Arabidopsis thaliana: one gene and its partner. The protein of the gene in region 1 interacts with the protein of each later gene in a biochemical or structural test. Each region holds a gene or a part of one and is shown in the gene's direction. Other genes may lie near its edges.

Region 1 (3,552 bases):
AAAGAAGGCTCTGATGAGATTCAACTTATAAAAAACGAGATGGACCAATTCTCTTGTTCTACTTTTCACCAACCAAAAAAAAAAGAAGGAAGAAGGAGATGAGAACCACGACGATATAGAGAGTGAATAAACTGCATCAATTTACCTGTAGAATGATTTTGGCAGGCGTAGTCGCGTGGAAGCCCTAGAAGAAGAAGAAGCTCGCGTCGAGAGATAGGTGAAACTGAAAACAGAGTTAGGTACGATTTAGATAAAGAAGGCAAGAGAGATCATTTGGATTTTTATTTTATTTTCTTTTCTTTTTAGTTTCAAAGATATTTTTTTCAGAACACATTTTGACTTTCTTATTTTGTCTGAAGGACGAGAAGTCGAGAACGTCTACTTTTTAGGAGTATTGGGCCTATATGTTAAACAAATTATAAGAAGCCCAACAAGTAAACAAAATTGAAGCTGCTTTCTAAAAAAACAAAACAATAACAGATTATGAAGACAAACAAATATTAGATTTTTTAATTTTGATTAGAATATACTGATTAATAGAACTAGAACATGTATCACATAACATCTACACAATGAATAATGCATACAAGTTTTTAAAAAGTCTTGCAACTTAACACTCTCAAGATCCCACATGTCAAGTTTTGGATTCGATGAAACATATGAGTTTGTTAGTAAGTTTAATAATTGTTGTTATAAAGAAATGTGTATATTTATATATTACAATTAATTAAATAAATTGTTTTCCTCTTCATTGGATTGCTTCACTTATGTTAAGAGTTTAGTAGTTGCTTTCAAGGCCGAATGATATGTGGCCACGAACATATCATCACACGTGGAATGAGAACGAGTTTCGACTTTTCAAATATGCCATAAAGCCTCAATTATCTTCTTATCTCGCTTGAATATGCAACAAAAAGCTATTAAGATATTCATAAAATAGAGGCGTCTCAAATCTACCAACAAAAAGCTACAAAAGATCCAGTCCAATCCACTGAAGAATCCCAAAACAGAGTAGAAACCCAAACAACCCGATTCAGCAAATAATTCAAAAACGAACGTCCGTACGATTTTCCAAAAACAGAAAGATGGGTTCCACAAGATAATGCGTGGGGACGTCAAAATCCTCTAAACCCGTGGTTCGGCCGCGGAAACACTGTCCCTACCTTCCCCACCAGCCTTCACTGGCCCCATACGTCACTCTCAAGCTTTACTTTCTATTTTCCACTAAAGCCAATTTTGTTGTTTTCTTCACCTTACCACTCTTTTTTTCCCTCTTTGTTGTGTCTTCTTTTCTCCTAAATGTCAATAACGTGAGAGCGAGAGGTAACGAGAGAGATATTTTTGTCAGCGAATATATTTCATGCATATCTTATTGTGAAGATTTTTTATACCTTTTTTTTGTCAATACAATATAGCTATTATTGAGATTGAGATATTTTGTGGGAATTATTGGGATTCAAGATAACTTGCTATTTTGTATTGGTCTAATCCTTCGCTTAGTCCTGTCCTGGTCCATTTACATGTTTTTGGTTATAGTTTGTTTAAACTGAATAATTTTGTTCATCATATGCATTTATGACTCATTTTTAACCGTCCATCGAAATTGATAATTATCCATTACCAAATCTGATTAATTTTTTTAAAAAATCAAGCTTTTCTATATTGTAGTATTATTTTTGGTTAAATATTAGGACATCTACTTCCAATACAAATACTACATGAGTATTTAAAATATCATTTCACAGAGATATTTATGTCTATTATGTTATAGACGGGTGACAATTAATGACAATTTGTTTATTCATAGGAATTTAAAAACGATTGTAACAACAGCAGCCAGCCAACCACACAGGCACACACTCGATAGAATTTAAAGAACTCATAAAGGTTAACGAGTGAAGAGTCAAAAGTCTCTTTACAAGGGTCAAAGGACACACGTCAGACAGCGAGTGGAACATCGTGGGATTGCTTCGCTATGTACTATACACGTGTCATTCACAGAGACAAAAACTCCGTGTGCTCCCCACATATCCGTTATCTCTCCTCCGGCCAATATAAACACCAATTCTCACTCTCACTTTTTATACTAACTACACACTTGAAAAAGAATCTACCTGAAAAGAAAAAAAAGAGAGAGAGATATAAATAGCTTTACCAAGACAGATATACTATCTTTTATTAATCCAAAAAGACTGAGAACTCTAGTAACTACGTACTACTTAAACCTTATCCAGTTTCTTGAAACAGAGTACTCTGATCAATGAACTCATTTTCAGCTTTTTCTGAAATGTTTGGCTCCGATTACGAGCCTCAAGGCGGAGATTATTGTCCGACGTTGGCCACGAGTTGTCCGAAGAAACCGGCGGGCCGTAAGAAGTTTCGTGAGACTCGTCACCCAATTTACAGAGGAGTTCGTCAAAGAAACTCCGGTAAGTGGGTTTCTGAAGTGAGAGAGCCAAACAAGAAAACCAGGATTTGGCTCGGGACTTTCCAAACCGCTGAGATGGCAGCTCGTGCTCACGACGTCGCTGCATTAGCCCTCCGTGGCCGATCAGCATGTCTCAACTTCGCTGACTCGGCTTGGCGGCTACGAATCCCGGAGTCAACATGCGCCAAGGATATCCAAAAAGCGGCTGCTGAAGCGGCGTTGGCTTTTCAAGATGAGACGTGTGATACGACGACCACGAATCATGGCCTGGACATGGAGGAGACGATGGTGGAAGCTATTTATACACCGGAACAGAGCGAAGGTGCGTTTTATATGGATGAGGAGACAATGTTTGGGATGCCGACTTTGTTGGATAATATGGCTGAAGGCATGCTTTTACCGCCGCCGTCTGTTCAATGGAATCATAATTATGACGGCGAAGGAGATGGTGACGTGTCGCTTTGGAGTTACTAATATTCGATAGTCGTTTCCATTTTTGTACTATAGTTTGAAAATATTCTAGTTCCTTTTTTTAGAATGGTTCCTTCATTTTATTTTATTTTATTGTTGTAGAAACGAGTGGAAAATAATTCAATACAAAACAAATCGTTTTCTACTTCTTTGCTTCACATAAGTTAAAAGTCAAATATTTAACAAAAAAGATATTAAAAGTCATATTGTAGTTGCTTTCAAGGCAAAATATGTGGACAGATCATTACACGTGGATGATGTTTGTAAATATGCCACAAAACCTGCATTACATTATTTTATTCTATCTCATGTAAGTTACAGATCTTACAATTTAGCAACAGAAAGCCACAAAATATTACATAAATTGGCTCGTCTCGAATCTAGCAACCAAAAAAATTCAGCCCAGTTCACTATAAAGAATATAAAAAAAAGTTTCCTAAAATAGTGTATAAAACCGAAACAAACTAATTCAACAAACCCGAAATAAACAAATCCGTACGACAACCAAAAATATCTTTCAGATGGGTTCCACAAGATAACCCAGTGCCAATCAGAATTCTGAAAGCGTGGCTCGACCGCGGAAACCATTGTCCATACCTTCTCTTCTTTGTCCCCCCTTACGTGGCTCGCTGTGGAGTCTCGTACCACGTGTC
Region 2 (6,173 bases), 3.8 Mb from region 1:
TTTCACCATCTCAATCACACTCTTATCTTCTGGAATATGTCTTAAAGAACCAAGCTCCACAACTCCAGAATTCACTGGTACAGACAACACAGTCTGAAAACCAGCTGACCTAGCTAAGAAAGACCTAACCCTATAATAACTCAAGCAGCTAGGCAAATCTGCAGCCCAAAGAGGCTTCCCAGACACATAGGTTCCAGCAGGACCGTACTTATTGGTATCACACCTAAAGGAAAAGTACAAAGAAGCCAGATAAAACATGTCGAGATCAGTAAGAGCTCCTGATTTCACCAAACGATGATCTTCATCTGAACCAACGAACGACAAGTGAAGCTTGCGAAGCACACGTCTTTTGATCTCATCTTGCTGAGAGTAATCCTCACCTGAAGCACCCTTTTTGACACGGCAATGACCATCTCCCCAGATCAAGACACAACCATCAGAGCTATTAACGTTGGACGCTAGCCAGAAAAGAGCATAATCCCAATCAGATCCTTCAACAACGTGACGTAACCCTTGTTGGAGATTGGAATCACTTGGTGGTGAGACAAGCTTGGACAAGGCAGTGTTGGAAGCTGAAGCTGTTGAGATGAAAAAGTCGCAAGCTTCAGAGCCTATGGTGGATTCAACCATCGCTCGATCTTCTTGATTCTCCCAAAACTTTTGACCCATTTCTCCTGAAACGTTCATTGACATGGAATATACAAAAATTAGGGTATGGAATCAAATAAAATTAAAGGTATTTGGATTGAGATCGCTGCTTACAAATGAGATAGAAGATGATGGGTTTCGTGAGGAAGAGGAACGAGAATCACGTGATTCTTGCTGAGACACCGAATTTAGGGTTTGTTGGTGAAAAAGCAAAATCCTTTATAAAGGATATAACTCTAATTTATATTGCTGAGAAAGGAATGATCAAAGAGAAGACAAAACCTGAGCTTGGTTCACTTCAGATCTGTAGTGACTTGTTCTGAAATTGACGAAGAAAGAAGAAAAGAGGAAGAGACTATGCGAGAGAGAGAATATGGGTTTAATCGTAATTTAATACCAAGGACATCATTTCCTTCAGTTTTTTAACTGCAAACTATACTTTTGCCTTTTCTTACATACCAAACCACAAGTCATTGTGGTGTAATATCTATTCAACTACAAGTAAACCCATATCACTGGATTTTTGTCGAGATTATGTGTACATGTTGGGAAATTATTTCGTAGTACAACCTATTATGATGGGAGAATCGAAACTCGTCTTCTGAATTAACTTATCGCAAATCACCGTTAATAAGCGGAAAAGGAATTTACACATCTTACAATTATGCGCAAATACAATTGTTAATTGGATGAGTCATGCCATATTCTTGAGATGGTATGATAGGTATCATTACACCATGTAGTCAATCACGATTTTTTTGGATAATGTGGTTTAGAAGAACTAATCGCGTCTAATATAGACAAACTTATTCGTTCAGCAAAACAACAATTCGATATTTTTATTCGATTGACATGAGTCTTATAAAATTTATCACTAGATGTCTAATAAAAAAGGTTCAAACATTTCTAATAATTCGATTTTCGACCAAAATAAGAAACTTTAAATTAGCATCAAACTATCTTATATGGTTGTTTCCTTGCTTAACCTTCTTCCAAATCAATTTTTCAAATTAGCATCAATAAGATTTTAAAATACATCATAATGTTGTTCCGATAGTGTGTGACAACACTAACCATTTATTCCTATACAAGTTTATTTACTTGCTAATTCATTTACTGAAAATGTCCATGAACAAAATACCTAAAAACGAATAACCATAACCCAACCAAATATTAAAGACATCTCCATCAAGAAGAAACCCAAACAGTTTTTCAAACAAAAAGAATATTAGTATTTTATTATAATTTTATATATGATTAAATTTTTATTTTAGCGAACCAATTGAAAAGAGAAAAATATTATGATGGTTTGTATAAAGTATTTCATAGTTTAACGAGAAACATTCTACACTCTCTTTCTTTTCCTTTTATTATTTTTATTATTTTAATAATAAAAAATTACCAATAAAAATGGTCTATCTTAGCTTTTTTTTCTTCATTTTTTTTTCCCTCAACCACCATTCAACAATTAACATAAAAAATAATAGTTTTTTAAGTTGAAGTTATAAGAGTCAATTTAGTTTAAGTCATATGCTTTAGTAATAAGCATGACCGTCTAATCCCAAAAAATCTAAAAAGTACAGTGCCTTAGAAATTTCCTTTACCTCGACTTCCCTAATTTTAATCTTCTCGGTCGGAACTTCTGAATAATATTAGTAGAGATCCAAAACCTCACAAATTTCGACCGAGTTTTGTTGAATTCCGATTAGATCTTTCTTCCACGAAACCCCCCCAAGTACCCATTCCATCTTCTCCGGTGAGTCTCCCATGTTGGCATTACGCTAGGGTTCTTCTTCTCTGTGGTTTCGCATAACCCAATAATCCAATTTTCTACTTGGGCATCAATGGGTCGCTCTCGAGGGAACTTCCAAAATTTCGAAGACCCTACTCAGAGGTTTGTTCCTAATTCACTACTCTAATTTCCGATTTGGGGTTTTTGTGGATTTCTCTTTTGTAATTGCCAATTTGTGCTGAAATTGATTTGAATTTCAAGTTTCTTTGAGTCTGTGTTGTGCAATTGTCATTGATCTCTAGTTGGGACAATGAGCATGGCTTCAAATTTGTGGCTTTTGATAACTTTCAGTAGCTATAGTCTCCTCTATCTTCATCTATGTAATTGTGCCAATTTCTGCTGAAATTGATTGATTTTGAAGTTTCTTTGCATCTGCTTTGTGCAACAATCATTGATTTTTCAGTTGGGACAATGAGCATCGCTTAAAGTTTGTTGCTTTTGAAAACTTTCAGTAGCTATGTAGTCTCTTCTCTGTTTTCATCTGTGTAATTGTTTTTTCACTGTTGAAGCTGACATGAAAGAATCGTGTTATGCGTTTGTTGCAGAACGAGGAAAAAGAAAAATGCGGCTAATGTGGAGAACTTTGAGTCTACTTCTTTGGGTAAAAAAATACTTATCAAGGTTTTTTTTTTTTGTTTCTCCTGTCAAGATTCTTCTTTTACTCAACATTTTTTATTTGTGGAGACAGTACCAGGTGCTGAGGGAGGAGGGAAGTATAACTGCGATTATTGCCAGAAAGACATTACTGGAAAAATTAGGATAAAGTGTGCTGTCTGTCCAGATTTTGATCTCTGTATAGAATGTATGTCTGTTGGAGCAGAGATCACTCCTCACAAATGTGATCACCCATACCGAGTTATGGTTAGTTTTCATTTACTTTTCTTACCTTTTAGTTTGGAAAGAGTTTGATTCATTATACTTAGCGAAAATATCTTTTGGTTGAATTCTACCAAAGCTTAATATATGTTTCATTTGCTTTGTTAGGGAAATCTAACTTTCCCGCTTATTTGTCCTGACTGGAGTGCGGATGATGAAATGCTTCTCCTGGAGGTACCACTACTTCTTTTATCGTACTGATATGAAGTCTATAATGTCTGATTCTTTCAGTGAAAAGTAATTTCTTTTAATGTCTTTATTCAGGGACTTGAAATTTATGGCTTGGGAAACTGGGCAGAGGTTGCGGAGCACGTGGGAACGAAGAGTAAAGAACAGTGTCTTGAGCACTACAGAAACATCTATTTGAACTCACCATTTTTCCCACTTCCGGTATGCTACATCGATCTGATAAGATACCTATCTACCTCAGTAGTGCCAGCCTTTTGCAAGGTATTAACTAATTCAGGAGAAACGTTTATTTTCCCAGGATATGTCACATGTAGCAGGGAAGAACAGAAAAGAACTTCAAGCCATGGCTAAAGGACGCATTGATGACAAGAAAGGTATGCGCTTCTTTGCTTGATGGTTTTGATTCTGCGTTGTACGTGTTGCTATTTTAATTCTGATTTTGAAGTGGTTTCTTCTTTGGCAGCAGAGCAGAACATGAAAGAAGAGTACCCGTTCTCTCCTCCTAAAGTCAAGTATGTTTCTCGTTCTTCTCATGTACTGTACAGTGATAACCCTATAATTTTCTCATCTTTTGTTCAATTTTCTTGCAGAGTTGAAGACACACAAAAAGGTGAGTTCTTGCTTTGTATGCTATATCTGGTTCGTATATAGGTGTGCTTATCGTTTTGTTATTTACTTGCTCTAGCTTACACCAGTAGTTATAATCTAGTTAACCATCGCGTAAATGGAATCATCTACTTGTAAAGTAAGAAGCTGACTGAGCATAATTTTAAAATCCAAAAAGGCCCAATATTTGTCATTGTATTTATACTGGTAGATATTTTCTCCCTTTTTCTATGTTTTGACATTCTTTGTGGTTAGAGTCTTTTGTAGACAGAAGTTTTGGAGGGAAGAAACCTGTTTCCACCTCGGTAAACAACTCTTTGGTTGAGCTGAGTAATTACAACCAGAAAAGAGAAGAGTTTGACCCTGAATATGACAATGATGCTGAGCAACTCTTGGCGGAGATGGAGTTCAAAGAGAACGATACTCCTGAAGAACATGAACTGAAGCTGCGTGTGTTGCGTATCTATTCAAAAAGGTACAACATTTAAGATCAAAAGGGGAACAAAGTCTCTTCTTTTTGCTGTCCATTCTGACGCAGGTGAGTATGATGTTTGTAGGCTTGATGAGAGGAAACGTAGAAAAGAATTCATAATAGAAAGAAACCTGTTGTACCCAAATCCCTTTGAGAAGGACCTGTCTCAGGAGGAGAAAGTACAATGCCGACGTTTGGACGTTTTTATGCGTTTTCATTCAAAAGAGGAGCACGACGAGCTACTCCGTAATGTTGTAAGCGAGTACCGCATGGTGAAACGGCTCAAAGATCTCAAGGTAAGGACATTGCTACCCTCAAACTGTGCGTTTGGTTTCTTGGATTGGATGTGGCTCACTGTGTTGGATTGGTGGAGCAGGAAGCTCAAGTGGCAGGGTGTCGTTCAACGGCTGAAGCAGAGAGGTATCTGGGAAGGAAGAGGAAGAGAGAAAACGAAGAAGGGATGAACAGAGGGAAAGAGAGCGGTCAATTTGGTCAAATTGCAGGGGAGATGGGCTCTAGACCACCTGTGCAAGCTTCTTCAAGCTATGTGAATGATTTGGACTTGATTGGGTTCACGGAGTCGCAACTGCTGTCTGAATCCGTAAGTGTCTGAGAACTGAGATACTGAACAGTGTGAGATGAGTTTTCTGTCGTTGTAACTGAAAGAAGAAAGCTCTTTGTTTTGCAGGAGAAGCGTCTCTGCAGCGAGGTCAAGTTGGTTCCACCGGTTTATCTACAGATGCAACAAGTGATGTCACATGAGATATTCAAAGGGAATGTAACGAAGAAGTCGGATGCATATAGCCTTTTCAAGATTGATCCAACCAAAGTGGATCGAGTTTATGATATGCTTGTGAAGAAGGGTATTGCTCAACTTTAAGGCTTGTGTAGTGTTGTATCATATATATATATGTGTGAGCTCTAATGAGTTATTTGTTGACATTCCCTTGTTTATTACACCTTGTCAAAATTAGTTTGTAATAGAAAAACGATTAAGTTATCCACAGATTGTGAAAAGAGATAAGGTGAATCAGAGCCACACAATCTAAACCAAATGTTTTAGTATATAAGAAAGAATCTGACTCCTACAAGGAAAGGAAGAAGTGAGATGACGATGATGTCTCTCCCCAAAATGAGACTATCTTGTCTGCAACCACACCTCCATTTTACCAGTAGCAGATCAATAGCAGCAGCTCTAGCTTTTCCAAGCTCAAGCATAAGGAACAGAACATCATGTCTTGTTCGGTGTGGCTCAGCCAGAAGAAGATTGACTACGAAAAGTAGCAGAAACAGCAAGCTTGAAAGAGCACAACCTCCTCCTCTGGGTTTGGAACGGCACTGGAGATATGCTGTGGTTGGTGGAGTCTCTGTAGGGTTGATGATGGTTTTGGTATTGGGAATGGATGCAGAGAAAGCTATGGCGCTTGGACCAGAAGGTCCTTTAATGGAAGAGTTTTGGGACAACGTTAGAAGGTACGGTCTTTACGCTCTCACGGTTAGCACTGGAGCTCTCTCTGCTGTCTTTGAGCCCATCTTTGAGCTCCTCAAGAACCCAATCTCCGCCATTCTCATTCTACTCATCTTAGGTGG

Evidence for each region. Proteins that work in one complex are often made in the same cells at the same time.
Region 2: the proteins of CBF1 (region 1) and ADA2B form a complex in vitro, tested with the Arabidopsis thaliana proteins (one study listed by BioGRID).

What each region holds. Positions count from the first base shown.
Region 1 is NC_003075.7:13,021,271-13,024,822, reverse strand, and holds CBF1 (C-repeat/DRE binding factor 1), read left to right. Parts: upstream 1-1,826; 5' UTR 1,827-2,260; coding exon 2,261-2,902; 3' UTR 2,903-3,043; downstream 3,044-3,552. UniProt on the Arabidopsis thaliana protein: Transcriptional activator that binds specifically to the DNA sequence 5'-[AG]CCGAC-3'. Binding to the C-repeat/DRE element mediates cold-inducible transcription. CBF/DREB1 factors play a key role in freezing tolerance and cold acclimation.
Region 2 is NC_003075.7:9,262,095-9,268,267, reverse strand, and holds ADA2B (ADA2 2B), read left to right. Parts: upstream 1-2,110; 5' UTR 2,111-2,492; coding exon 2,493-2,542; intron 2,543-2,985; coding exon 2,986-3,041; intron 3,042-3,128; coding exon 3,129-3,301; intron 3,302-3,424; coding exon 3,425-3,490; intron 3,491-3,580; coding exon 3,581-3,706; intron 3,707-3,803; coding exon 3,804-3,879; intron 3,880-3,968; coding exon 3,969-4,017; intron 4,018-4,095; coding exon 4,096-4,115; intron 4,116-4,366; coding exon 4,367-4,586; intron 4,587-4,668; coding exon 4,669-4,879; intron 4,880-4,959; coding exon 4,960-5,184; intron 5,185-5,271; coding exon 5,272-5,463; 3' UTR 5,464-5,647; downstream 5,648-6,173. Other genes in the region: AT4G16430 (basic helix-loop-helix (bHLH) DNA-binding superfamily protein), read right to left, coding at 1-669; AT4G16410 (uncharacterized protein), read left to right, coding at 5,692-6,173; AT4G16400 (uncharacterized protein), read right to left, coding at 6,166-6,173. UniProt on the Arabidopsis thaliana protein: Required for the function of some acidic activation domains, which activate transcription from a distant site. The exact mechanism of action is not yet known.